Caenorhabditis elegans: one gene and its partners. The protein of the gene in region 1 purifies or fractionates together with the protein of each later gene. This does not show direct contact. Each region holds a gene or a part of one and is shown on either strand. Other genes may lie near its edges. The genes, in order: apd-3, Y50D4B.6 and apm-3.

Evidence for each region.
Region 2: the proteins of apd-3 (region 1) and Y50D4B.6 fractionate together in Caenorhabditis elegans (co-fractionation; one large-scale study listed by BioGRID). This does not show direct contact.
Region 3: the proteins of apd-3 (region 1) and apm-3 fractionate together in Caenorhabditis elegans (co-fractionation; one large-scale study listed by BioGRID). This does not show direct contact.

Annotation. Positions count from the first base shown.
Region 1 is NC_003280.10:3,544,437-3,549,167, forward strand, and holds the start of apd-3 (AP-3 complex subunit delta), read right to left. Parts: upstream 1,996-4,731; 5' UTR 1,986-1,995; coding exon 1,890-1,985; intron 1,839-1,889; coding exon 1,743-1,838; intron 1,607-1,742; coding exon 1,518-1,606; intron 1,409-1,517; coding exon 1,325-1,408; intron 500-1,324; coding exon 133-499; intron 1-132.
Region 2 is NC_003283.11:1,082,291-1,087,021, reverse strand, and holds the start of Y50D4B.6 (receptor protein-tyrosine kinase), read right to left. Parts: upstream 2,707-4,731; 5' UTR 2,639-2,706; coding exon 2,520-2,638; intron 1,913-2,519; coding exon 1,608-1,912; intron 1,563-1,607; coding exon 1,442-1,562; intron 1,399-1,441; coding exon 1,215-1,398; intron 933-1,214; coding exon 823-932; intron 781-822; coding exon 526-780; intron 38-525; coding exon 1-37.
Region 3 is NC_003284.9:952,550-957,280, forward strand, and holds the start of apm-3 (MHD domain-containing protein), read left to right. Parts: upstream 1-2,425; 5' UTR 2,426-2,447; coding exon 2,448-2,482; intron 2,483-2,541; coding exon 2,542-2,620; intron 2,621-2,678; coding exon 2,679-2,784; intron 2,785-2,850; coding exon 2,851-2,963; intron 2,964-3,010; coding exon 3,011-3,292; intron 3,293-3,730; coding exon 3,731-3,844; intron 3,845-3,888; coding exon 3,889-3,962; intron 3,963-4,013; coding exon 4,014-4,116; intron 4,117-4,168; coding exon 4,169-4,414; intron 4,415-4,731. Other genes in the region: Beta-arrestin arr-1, read left to right, coding at 1-143, 1,016-1,169, 1,237-1,316, 1,371-1,488.

The DNA of each region.
Region 1 (4,731 bases):
CAATTTTTTCGCTTAAAATAATCGAAAAAAATTCAATTTTTTCGCATAAGTAACCGAAAAAAAACGATTTTTTCGGAAAAAAAATCAATTTTCAACCGATTTTTTCCAATTTCTGCCTCGAAATGTCCGTACCAATTTAATAATTTTAATAAGCATCCAATTATTCGAAGAAGTAGTCATTAATTTAAAGAAAACCGGTGCCAGTGTCAAATAATTCTTCGGATTTTTCCTCGCCAGCTCACAAATCACATTAACCGCCGAGCTCTGAACTCCCGGATCCGGATCTTCCAATTTTTCTTTCAATCGGGGAAATGTTGGTCGTAGAGCGTCTGGATACTTTAAAAATATCTTATAAAGCAGCAGAACCGCCCGTTTTCTCGTATAATTCCGCGAGCAAGAGAGCAAATTTACAACGTCCGCTGCGAGATCTCGAGCCAAATCTGGAGTTACGAAGCAGCTGAGACCACCCAATGCGATACCGCTTTCGTACATATTTGAGCTGAAAAATTGAATTTTTCGTGATTTTTTTTTTGAAAAAAATTGGAACTTTTTCGATATTTTGAGGAAAAAATTGATTTTTTGGCAAAAAAATTTTTTTTGAAAAAATATTATTTTTTCCAGTTTTTTTTTCATTTTATTTTGGAAATAAAATCTATATTTTTCCTTTTTTTTGAGAAACAACCGAATTTTTTCCGTTTTTTTTTAGAAAAAATTGGATTTTTTATCAATTTTTAAATAAAAATCTATATTTTTTCTTTTCCCCTTTTTTTGGGAAAAAATCTGAACTTTTTCGATTTTTTTAGAGAAAATAATGGATTTTTTATCAATTTTTTTCAGAAAAATCTAGATTTTTGCCTTTTTTTCAGAAAAAATATGCATTTTTTATCAATTTTTTAGATAAAAAATTGTATTTTTTAAAGCAAAAATCTGAATTTTTTTGATTTTTTAGAGAAAAAATTGTGTTTTTTATCCATTTTTTAAAAGAAAAATCTGGATTTTTGCCTTTTTTTCTGATTATGGTTTTTTATCGTTTTTTTAGATAAAAAATTGAATTTTTTGAGAAAAAAATAATTTTTCAATTTTTTTTTCAGAAAAAATGATATTTTTCGGTTTTTTTTATTAGAAAAATAAAATTTTAAAAAGATTCTAATTTAAAAAAATGAAATTTCATTTTTTATTTGTAAATTTCCAGAAATTTCTTGCCAAAATCCAAATTTGCATTTTTTCAACATTTCCAACATCAAAAATCGCATTTTTTAGCTCAAAATTGGCGAAAATTTGTATTTTTTCCAGTTTTTCACACTTTTTCGCCCAAGAACCTTACCTATTCACATCTTTTCTTATCAAATTCGTCGTCAACATAAGGACATCAGTCTCATCGTGGAAGCTTTGTGCAGCGGCGAGATATCTGAAAAATTATTGATTTTTTACTGAATTTTCGGCTTAAAATCATCGAAAAATACGTTTTAACCGGAGTTTTTAGGTCAAAATTCAGCAAAAATCGAATAAAAACCAACCCTATTCGCTTTTCCGTGTATTTTGTAGAAGCCATCACTTCTATCACGTTGAACGAAGCCCATGAGATGTCATAACCGAGCATTTGGAGCTGAAAACATAAAAAGTCATGGTTTTTACAGATTTTTAAGTGAAAAATTCAATTTTTCGTGTTTTTCTTCATTTTTAGAGCGTTTTTCCACTGAATAGAGGCTAATTTTCAAGTTTTTCGGCACGCCGGAACTCACATAGGCCAACTTTTCAATTGCGTTCGCCTTCACATAAATCGAGTCTTGTCGGAGCTCCTGCTTGATCTCTTCCATACATTGAGTGATGTATCGGGACTGAAAATATCAAAAAATTAGATTTTTTCCCGGAAAACCAATAAATCCCACCTCATTATCCTTATTATTGCGAATTCCGCGGATCAAGTCGGTCAGAGACTTGTCAAAGATCCGGTCAATGTTGCTACGCACCTTGCGTAACGCCATTTCTTCGAATCTGAAAAAATTTTGCTTTTTTTAAAGTTTTTTTCGTTTTGGGAGTGAAAAATGACACGCAGAAGGGTTCGGTGAGGTGATTTTTGTGAAAAATATTTTTAAAAAATTTAATGTTGTGATTTTTGTGACAAAAACAACAAAAAATCTTGGTTAAATAGAGAAAAATTGCTTTAAAACCGTCAAAAAATAAAATAAAATAATCTTCAAAACTATCGCCTCGAGACCCAAACTAAAACTTCCTCCATGTACCTTTAAAGAAGGCATACGGTTTTTACCATAATTTTTCAGAATTTAAGCACGAAATCTGATTTTTTCTCCACGAAAACAATAAAAAGTGTTTTTAAAATTTCATCAACCTATTTCACAATTTCTTTAATTGAAAAATACAAAAGAGTCAACCTGAACTCGCACAAAACAAAAACTCGTGTCAAAACCCAACAAAATCTTGATGTCATGCGCCTTTAAAACAGTACTCGAATAAATCGATTTATTGAAGTTTTTATCGATTTTTATTGTTTTTTCTTGGTAAAAATGAATAAATTAATCACGAAAAGCCACAAGAAAACCGGAAATGTTTAAATGAATTAATTTTGGGTAGCATTTCTGTAAAATCCATTCTAATTTCGGTTTAGATGGCCAGAAATAGAAGAAAATCCGAAAAAAATAGGTAAATTAAATTCTAAATTTGCTTTAAAACAGACAAATTAATGTTTTTCAAAATTTAAAAAAATCTTTAAAAAAATTTCACAATAAAATAAAAACCTTAAATTCGCAGGAACTAACATGGTGCAACATGCCTCAAAAAAAAACCCGAAAAATTCCAAAAAAATGTCCGAAAAGCGCGGGTTTTTGTGGGGAAAAGGCGATAAAATGAGTGAAGGATTAAATGGGGACGTCGTCCTCCATCTCTTCAGCTTCTGCGTCAGTTCCAAACACAGAAGGGCTCCTAAAAGAGGACGAAAAAGACGACGCATCTTCTTCCCTCCTCGCCCCAAAGATAGAATCAAACATAGAACGTGCGGAGAGAAAATGAGGGAAATAGAGCGGGCAGGGGTCGAGACGCAGACAGGAAAGTAGCGGCACAGAGGGGTGCAGCAGCACAGCTTGCGGAGACGGATATATCGACCAAAGGCACTGAAGAATTATTAAGGACAACGACAAGTGTTGGAGGGACTAGAGGGAATTCTAGGCCAGAAGTTTGACCTAAAAAAGGAAATTGGAACGTTTTTTTTCGAAATGTTCATCTTAAAACCTTCTAGAAAGCGCGCTCTAATGAGATTCACCGATAATTCGCAATAGAGCGCGTTTTCATCTGTTCAATCTTTTTTTTCAAAAACTCACAACTGAAATGACGTCTGCGCTAGGAGAAACCCCTGATCGGCTCGTCGATTTCTCAGACTTTTTGAATTTTTTCGAACCGTCGCCGCCGCCTCTTCGAAATGTGATCGCATGGAATTTTCAGACAATTTCAGACAAAACATTTATTATTATCTAGCAGAATCATAGAAGACTAATAACAACTGGAGGAACAGTACGAGCGGGAGACAGACAGATAAGAACTAAAATTATCTTATCAATTTTAGTCAGCGGCGAGCACAAACTATTAGGTCGTTCAATAAGTTTTGTCGTTTTTTTCCAGTTTTGATTTTTTCTTGGATATTTTTTTGCGGTTGTATAGAGGACTGTTAGTAATGACAAGCCCAACGATATCAGCCATTTCGGTCAACTTCCAGGTTGTTTAAAACTCCGAACTATGACAACGAAACAAAATTTTTTTTTTCGATTTTTTTTATTTCCTCATGAAATCAAAAACTTTGTATGCGTAGATGTATTAGACAGTTAGTTAAATAAAACTGAAAATTTTCAGACTCAGGCATAGCTTATTGGTAGCGCTACATCTGTTGGAAGTGCCTAAAACGCTTGCAAAATTGTCTTTTTTATTTTTGAGCGGTGCTAACTTTGAAACCATGAGAGATATACAAAAGTAATGTATTACAACATTAATGTACATATTATAAGCTACAATTTATCAGTTTGGTGCAACGTTGGATCTCCTCACGTTTCTGAGTTACAGTCGATAGAAGTGCGCTTGGTCCAATTTTCAAAAAATCCTAATTTTTCATGTTTTTGCCAGTAACTCCAAAACCAGGTGTCTGATCAAAAATCTTTAAATCAAAAAATAAGTGCTTTTTTATTATTAACAGGTATTCAGTTGACCGTTTTGTTATATCTCATATGTGCGCAAAGATATGAATCGTAAAACAGCAAAAAATGCATGATCAGAAAAATATGAAAAATATTGCAAAAAGCCATTTTATTCTTCTCGAAAACAACATGGGCGTCTAGAAACACATTTAATATTTTGACTATCAATTAGTTTATCATAATCAAAAAACCATTAGGAGTTATCTTTCAAAAAAATTTTTCGGAAATTTTTTCCCGATGTTTTTTTAAATTTTTCAGAAATTTCCGCAACTTTTGTTTTACGATTCATATCTTTGCGCACACATGAGATATAACAAAACGGTCAACTGAATACCTGTTAATAATGAAAAAGCACTTATTTTTTGATTTAAAGATTTTTGATCAGACACCTGGTTTTGGAGTTACTGGCAAAAACATGAAAAATTAGGATTTTTTGAAAATTGGACCAAGCGCACTTCTATCGACTGTAACTCAGAAACGTGAGGAGATCCAACGTTGCACCAAACTGATAAATTGTAGCTTATAATATGTA
Region 2 (4,731 bases), on another chromosome or scaffold:
CGGATTTAAGTTCCAGCAAGACTGCATGAATTCGTAGCTAAAGGCAATTTCTTTTTTAATAATTAAGAGAACGGGATAAAATAGTGAAGGCATTCAATTTTACAAGAGTTTGAAAACCGAAAAATCGAAAATTATCTTTTTTCGTTTTTTCGATTTTTCGAACTTCCGATTTTTCGAAAAAAATATTCGGATTTTACAAAAATTAGCTTAATATTTTGGTCATTATTGTTCTTTTTAGAAGAAATTTTTTATTTTTTCTTATCAATATAAACAAAATTAGACAAAAAATCATATTTTATGGTTAATTTTCTGAACATTTTTAATCGATTTTTCGATTTTCCAAAGAATCGAAAAATCAAAAAATTTCGTTTTTCGATTTTCAATTTTTCGATTTTTCGATTTTCACTGAAAAATCAATAAATCGAAAAATGACACCCTTGGTTTCAAGTAAACAGATTAAAAATAAATGTTTTGCCTGTTCTCAAGAATACCATACGATTACTCTACAGTACTCGAAAAACTCACATTTTATCACTCCCATGCTCCGGACTTGGAAGTTGATTCCCATCTCTCACGTACTTCATCAAACCCTGGAAATAATCTGGCCGAAAATCGAGACCCTCATAAGGTGACACTCCCAATGAAAATATTTCATAAAGACAAACTCCATATGACCAAATGTCAGATTTCGAATCAAACTTTATATTCTCGCGTTCTTGTTCAAACTCGAAACACTCCGGTGCCAACCACTTCATTGGAAAACCTACGTCGGTCTTCTTTCTGAAAAAAATTTTGAAATGTTGTACACTTCAACAAACTAACCTATAATATTCTTTGTTTTCATGCCATCTAGCCAATCCAAAATCAGCAATTCGAATAATTCGATTTCTTTTGACAAACACATTTCGTAGTGCCAGATCGCGATGAACACACTAGAAAATTCTGTTGATTTTTATCTTGGATTTTTTTAAAAATTCTATTTGAATGTTGATAGTGTCCTAAATTTTGGCGGGAGTTTAAAGTTTTCTGAGCAACATTTTTGCGGGAAAATCGAAATTTCGAAATTTCGTTTTAAAAAACTCTGAATTGTCCTAGAATTCTCCTAAAAAATGTGGACATTTCTGGAAAATATCTTTTAAAAAATCGGTAGCTATGCGAAAGTTCTGGAATTATGTATATAACAAATTTAATGTTTGTAAACTGAATATCCTCACCGCGACATTGCCTAAAAACTTCATTCCATTAGCAATCTGAAAAGCAAATGATAACAAGTCCGTCGGGCACAGCAAACGACCATTATCTTCGACACAAACAATATCCTTATTGAAATATCTTCTCCGAGCTCTCAAATACTCTACAAGATCCCCTTTCTCTACGAACTCGGAAACAATAAGAATTCTGGAATATTGTGGATGTAAGTTTTTTGCTCAATAAAACTTACTCATTGGTTCGGATCCATCTAATTAGTGCAAGGATGTTTGGATGTTTTCCAACAACACACATCACGTTAAGTTCTTCACACATCAACTGTTGTTCCGATGGATCTTCAGGTCTTAATGCACCTAATATGTTAAGGTATTAATAAATAGTTACACTGTTCAACTCACGTTTAACGGCAACTTCCAAAGAATTCTCAGAGTCTAGACCATTTTTCTGTTTCTTGTGCATTCGCTCTTTGAACACTTTCCCATAATATCCATTCCCTAAGAAGCTTAAGTTGTAGAAGGAAAACTTATTGACATCAATTTCAAATCGCTCGTCAAATTTTAGGTTTTTGATTATGGCATTAATGGGTTCGGTCTCCAATCCAATTGGAACATTTTCTTCATTGGCTTGGAGGAGACTTTCATTTTCTCGGACGCTAGAAGGTGTTTTCTGGCTTGATGAGTGGATAATTCCAGATTCTAGACTTCTGAATAGGAAATCATGAAAAAATAATTTACAACTAGATTTTTTAATAGAAAAGACTGGTTTTCCAGGAGTTTTGTGGACCTTCAAAATTTTTGAAGTAGTTTTAAACAATATTCCACAGTTTTCGCAACTTTTTAAAAACTTCTGGATTTTTACTATATAGTGGGATTATTCAGAAGGTTCTAGAAATTTCTAAAAGTTTTCCAAACATTTCCAATGTTTTTCGAGTTTTGTTTGATTTAGAAACTTTTAGAAGTTTCAGTACTCACATGGTCTCAAAGTGTCTCATTTCGGTTTGATCTACAAAAAATGCGGGAATTTTTCCCCAATAAAGCGTGACGTCAGCACGCTCTTCACCATGTGAAATTAGTTAAAAAGTCTCGTCTCCTGCATTTTTTGTAGATCAAACCGAAATGAGACATTTTGACACCACATGAGTACTCTTCATCGGCTTTCTGGGAAATTTTAAATGTATTCAAAAGGTTTATTTTTCAGAAAATTTGAGTTTAACGGCATAATTTTTTGTTTTTAATATTAATTTCTCTAGAATTTTTTTTTCTCAGAAAACGTGAATTTCCAGACAAAACTGAATTTCTTCAAAAAATTACCTTGTTTCCTCATGTTCCTCTTTTCTCAAATAATAGAATTTCCAAACATAGTAAAATAAAACTGAAAGTGCAATGACCACTATGCAATAGAAAATAACCAGAATATTGCGATCAATCATGAGTTACGAATAGTATGAATGAAGTGAAATATCAGCAATAATGTATCAAGGTCAAATTTATTGCAATCTTGGTTGATTCAATCATTGAATGTATTGATAACAAAGGTTCAAACAATTTTGAAATAAGTAAAACACACTCTCAAGTGTTGCTATAAAATAATTCCTCAGCTGTCATTTGTTGTTAATCAATTATCACTTCCTTGCCAAAAAAAAACTCTCTTAATTTTATTATTTTTCGTCAGTGACTGAAGATTTCCCCACATTTCACAAAATATTATGTAACAGGTTCTTTCTATAATATTGTTATTTAATTACGTTTTTTTTTTCAAAGCTATAAAACGATGCCACCACGTAGCCCTTCGATTGGACAAAATGATAGACTGCTATCACGTAGCTCAAGCAGGAAAGATCTTTCAACCGTTTTTCAATTCTTCAAATGTCACTTACATTAAGATCAAGTTCAAGATCACGATCAAACGATTCCCAGTGCAAAACCAAACTTAAAATAATTTTAATATACATTGGAATTTTGATCATATCAGCACCAATTGCTTATGGCTTGACAGTTCTGACTAGTAATGGTAGCGAGCCTAGTAAGTAGTAGAACGTGGGGAGTTTTGTTGAAAATAATAAATGTTTTACATGTTTCATAAAAAATGCATTTGATATCATCAGTAATATTGGGTCTTCTCATTTGGAAGATTTTACGCAATCATCATCAATTAATAAACCGACACCGGAAACTCCTGGTGAGTTTTCTTTTTAATATTAATTTGGAATGTTTATAGTTAGCTGTTTTTCTCATGTTAAATCTCTTCCTAATGTCTACTGTCCTTCCTAATATTTCTTCCTAATACCAAAAAACTAGGTAGTTCCATTTTGGTGTTCCATGGGTTTTTTAAGGAATTAATTGTGAATGTTATATGACTAACTGGTTACTATATTCTGGCTACATAAAAGGCAGTATGTGTACTTGTACTAGATTTAATCTCTTTGAAGTGTGAAAGTAAAATTCTTGTGGTGGTCAAATAATCGGCATCTCGGGCTAGCTTCTTGCCCGAGTTTGGCCCTACAATATTAACATCGTCTTCTTGCTGGAGACAACGGTCGTTCCCAAGTACTATAATTAATCCCTCAAACAGTTCCTAACTGTCTTGCAGCAAAACAGTCCATATGTTTTCCAGTGTCACATGAGAATATTTCGTATACACCAATCAGATCTAGAGGCGACATTATTCCATTAAATCCGGATTGGGGAGAGAACTACGCGAAATTTACATATGACATTATCAGCAACACTTATTCATACAAACGACATGGTGGATCATCATTTGAACCGTATTCCGTTTTTAATGTACAACGAGTAGAAAATAGGACGTTGGGTGCCGTTTATTTCAAAATATTGATAAAAGGACTTCTGGAGCTGTGGGTTTTTAGTTTATTTAACAAAATATTTTTATCATCGGTATTTCTAGCTTGAATGGAAGTTCGACTTGAAATCTGAGGGAAAATCAATTGAAAAAATAGTAATTAAAATGGAAGGAATACAAGAGATTGCTGATGGTAATGGAATAATCAAAGCCTGTCCATATTTGTTGAATGTAAGAAAAACAATACAGTGTTTTTTAACCTCAATACTCAGATATGCCCTAAGATTCCAATAAATCAGAGTCTGACCATTGAGAAGCCTACAAGTGATAAATTATTTATACATGTGAGTTATATATATGCTAAATAAGGTAAGGTAACATTTACTATTTCAGATAAATCTGGACAAAGATATAAAAGTTTTCAAAGCAGACCTGAAGAATGGAAACAAAGTGGAGAGTTTTTCAATTGAAGTCTACTGGGGTGGTTAAGTTTTATTTGTAATTTTAAACGAACTGCACCTAATTTATTCAAGCTGTGAGCGGCGAAAAGAGCAAACTCTTAAAAATATAATTATGGCAATAGTTTCCATTGGACTTGTTTTCATTGTTGTCTTGCAATTAAAACAACTATATGATTTCCAGTGTCAGATCAGTATTTTTTATCTATATACTTCTATTCTCCAAGCGAAATTATTCCATTACATCCGGATTTGGAAGATAACT
Region 3 (4,731 bases), on another chromosome or scaffold:
GAAGGATTTCCAGTCGGACCAGGCGGCACTCTTTCAAAGGTCTTCGCAGTGTGTCCTCTATTGAGCAACAACAAGGACAAGCGAGGGCTCGCATTGGATGGACAACTCAAGCATGAGGACACTAATTTAGCTTCAAGCACAATGTGAGTATAAAGTCGATAGGAAAGGGAAAGAGAGGGCGCGCAAACATATATATATATCGGGATGCCGAGAGAAGAAAATGGGGGGAAAGGGAAAAGAGAGGGTAAACTTCCGCCATTTCCTTACTCAGAAGGTTCAATTTCCCCCCGTCTCCTTCTACAAACGAATTTCGCCAGTTCTCCATCTACTTAGATACACTTTTTATGTTAAGCAAAAGAGTTCAGGAGAGTGGGGAACGAATTGAGATGTTTAATTGGATAACGTTTTGGAAAGAGGAATGTATGTTTGGAATGCATATCTGCTCACTAATGGAGAACCGGGGGGTTTTTATGAACAAAAAAATTGTCGATTATTTTCAATGGAAATTTCAAAGGATATTCAGAAACAGTTGGATAGGATGTGAGACATTTATTTATCTTTTTTTAATATTTAATTAGCACACTAAAGAACCACTAAGAAATGCTATATGTACATTGAAACGATACTGCATAGTTCAACGAACTATTTACAAGTTGGCTGCCGAGACCAGGCTACCGGCAAATGGGCAATTTATAAGTTACAGAACAAATATATCGTCAATGTTAAGTTTAAGAAAACCAAAAAATCCTTCCAATTTAAAGGATTGATTTGAAAAAGGAAACTAGAAATTTTCTACAATATGTATCAAGCTTGCTTACCATTCGACAATTCAAATTATGATAAATTTTGTTGGTATTCACTAGCCAGGCGATATGCGTGTATATACAAAAAATTTTAGTTCAAAAATGTGTTATAGCATGATTCTTAGTTAACAATTGTACGTCAAAATCCAAGACAACAATGATATGAGTTTGAGCAAAAATATTTTGGCAATCAAATAATTAATTTTTTGCAGATTGGACTCTAAAACATCAAAGGAAAGTCTTGGAATTGTAGTTCAATACAGAGTGAAAGTTCGCGCAGTTCTTGGACCACTAAACGGAGAACTGTTCGCCGAGCTGCCGTTCACATTAACACACTCGAAGCCTCCAGAGAGCCCCGAGAGAACGGTAGGTTTTAATTTTCAAAATAATTTTTTTACGAATCAAATTTTGAATCCATATTATTCAATTTCAGGATCGTGGCCTTCCATCAATCGAAGCAACAAATGGCTCCGAACCAGTCGATATTGATCTCATCCAACTACACGAAGAATTGTAAGTTTTTGATTAGAGTTGAATGATTCAATTTAATACACAATGATTTTTCAGAGAGCCCCGCTACGACGACGATCTAATCTTTGAGGATTTTGCCAGAATGCGTCTCCACGGAAACGATAGTGAAGACCAGCCATCGCCAAGCGCCAACTTGCCGCCAAGCCTTCTATGAATCTGTACAATTTATCACATGATATTGTGTCACTCTGTCATTCAACTTTTCTACGTCTTTTCCACCTTTTCCCCATTTTTCATTGTTTCTTTGTAAGTACATCTTTTTGTCTATGCTTCAAGTCAATTTTTCTGTCAAATTGTCACCTTTTTCGTTTTCTTTCATTTCATTTTTTCTCATATAAATCTATTTTGCCAATTTATTTTTAAAAATCAGATTCAAAGGTTTCAAATAATATTTCAATTGTTGTTGTTAATTATTGGAATGCTATCAGAAACCTTCTATGTAATTTTCAGATTGTGGGTCTGAATTCAACGATAATCTAGAAAAAAAAACTAAAACATCTATAAAAATACAAAAAATCATTTAATTGACTAAATAATATGTGTATGAAATCAATTTACAACTTGAAAAAACTTATGAGAAAATTTGAAAGCAAGTAAGTTGAAGATTTGTTTTTAATTGGCCAGTGCATTCAGAACTTTGATCAGTGCATTCCGAACTTTCGTCAGTTCATTCAGAAGTTTGGTCAGTGCATTCAGAAGTTTGGTCAGTGCATTCAGAAGTTTGGCCCTGGGAATTTTCAAATTCGATTAGTCCATTTTCAAATTCGGTCAGTGCATTTTTCAAATTCGATATGTGCGTTTTCAAATTAGGTCAGTGCATTGTCAAATTCGGTCAGTGCATTGTCAAATTCGGTCAGTGCATCATGTTTCCAAGTGAAACAAAGAAAATCGATGATGCCCAACGCCGGACATACAACGCGATTAGATATAGTAGTGGACCTCTCCTCTTCACGCATTTGACCCGTCCTCATTCTCGTCCTGTTCTCTTTTCTTTATTTCCCTTGCCGAACGACACTCCGAAATAACTCCCTGCGCGTTGTTTATTAGCTGTTATCTACTGGAGGAGAAGGTTCATCTCGTCAAAACAAACTACTTATTTATTGGATTTTAGTTATGCTGAACAGTCTATTTTTTGTAAATAGTAGTGGGTGAGTGATTTTTGATTTGAAATTATAAAATTTTTTTGTATTACTTTTCAAAATTTCAGTGATGTATTACTTGAAAAGCATTGGAAATCTGTTATTCATCGATCAATTTGCGATTATTTCTTTGATATTCAGAAAAAGGTTAGCTTCTAAATTTTGTTAAATTAAACTGGTCTGACCAAATTCCATACATTTTCAGAGCATTCACCCCGAAGATGTGCCTCCAATAATTTCAACTCCACATCATTATTTGATAAACGTATATCAGAACAACTTATTTCTAGTCGCAGTTATCACAGTTGAAAGTGAGTATTTTTTCGGAAAAAAAAATCAAAAACCTGACCACACGATCCTACTTAATTTTTTTCCAGCACCTCCCCTCATGGTCATCGAATTTTTACACAGAGTAATTCAAACCTTCACACAATACTTTGATGAATTTTCGGATTCTTCTATGAAAGAAAATTGCGTGATGGTTTTTGAGGTGAGCTTTATAACTTCAAAATTGAGGCTTAACATTCCGATTTCCAGTTGCTCGATGAAATGCTGGACAACGGCTTTCCACTGGTGACGGAAATGAACATCCTTCAAGATTTGATCAAGCCGCCCAACTTTCTGCGCAATATTGCTAATCAGGTCACCGGCCGTACAAACCTTTCTGAAACCCTGCCAACGGGGCAGCTATCAAATATTCCATGGAGGCGACAAGGAGTGAAGTACACAAATAATGAAGCGTATTTTGATGTGATTGAGGAAATTGACGTGATTGTTGATAAGCAAGGATCCACTGTTTTTGCCGAGATTCAGGGATATGTGAGTTTTGAGTATTTGAAACAAAAAATCAAATTATGCCTTCATATTGAACATACTATTTTGTCCTGTTTATTAAAACATTTTTGTAGAACCAGAGGTTTGCGGACCTTTGTAGTAGTATTATATGCCAAAATCTTTTAAACTTCAAAACTTAAAACGTATTTTGCGGAAATAAAGCGATTATGGCTACTGATAATCTCTATCAATTTGTAATTGTAGTGAATATCGGATTGCAAAATTGTTTAGTTCTGTGCACCTCTAAAGATTTAAATACAAAATTATAAATAAACCAAATGAAAATATTTTAATAATATAATACTTCACACCACCAAATTTGGGTGCTGACGTTTTGAACTAGCATGTGTTCTGGAGGTAAAAATTCTGAAAAATATTTGGAAATATTAAGAATATATTCATCTTATCCTTGACAAATTTCAGGTTGACGTTTGCTGTAAACTGTCCGGAATGCCTGATCTCACAATGACCCTTATCAACCCAAGACTTCTAGATGATGTATCCTTCCATCCATGTGTCAGATACAAGCGCTGGGAGGTAAACCGCTCATAACATTTATATCTTAATCACAATTTTTTCAGAACGAGAAGGTTCTTTCATTTGTTCCTCCAGATGGCAACTTTCGTCTGTTGTCCTATCATATTGCTGCACAAAAGTAATGATTTTCATTCTACAGATAAAATTTCTATAACTTAATTAATTTCAGTATGGTTGCCATTCCAATCTACGTTAGACAAGTGATCTCCTTGAAACCAAATGCTGGAAAACTTGACCTCACAGTTGGACCAAAGCTAAGCATGGGTAAAGTGGTGAGTTTTCGAAGATCTAAATCACAATCCCTCTAACAAAAACGATGTTAAGCTGGAAGACGTTGTTCTTGAAATCACAATGCCAAAATGTGTACAAAACTGCAATTTGGTGGCGAGTCACGGAAGAATCGCGTTCGACCCGACGACTAAACTATTGCAATGGACCATTGGAAAAATTGAAGTCGGAAAACCATCAACACTCAAAGGATCAGTTGCTGTGAGCGGAACTACTGTTGCAGAGAATCCACCAATTTCACTGAAATTCAAAATTAACCAGTTGGTTCTGTCCGGATTAAAGGTTAGCTTTATCAGCTTGAAGTGAATACCCCTATACTTGCAAAGTAAAAACATGCAAGTTTATAAAAAAACAAATCAAGTAATCAAATTTTTAATATGACTAGGAAAACTCTTGGTAGTGGTCCTAAAAATCGTCAGATATCAATTTGAATGACCAGGAATTATACGGAAAAATCATCCAGGAAATGTAAATTCTTTTTAAAATTATATTTGTCTATCAGCGCTGTGCGGCTGTTTATCCGACTTTTTGGAGAAGTGAGATAGAATTTTAGTGAGATAAAGTTTTAAAATTTGGAAACTTTCATTCTTGCCCAGTCT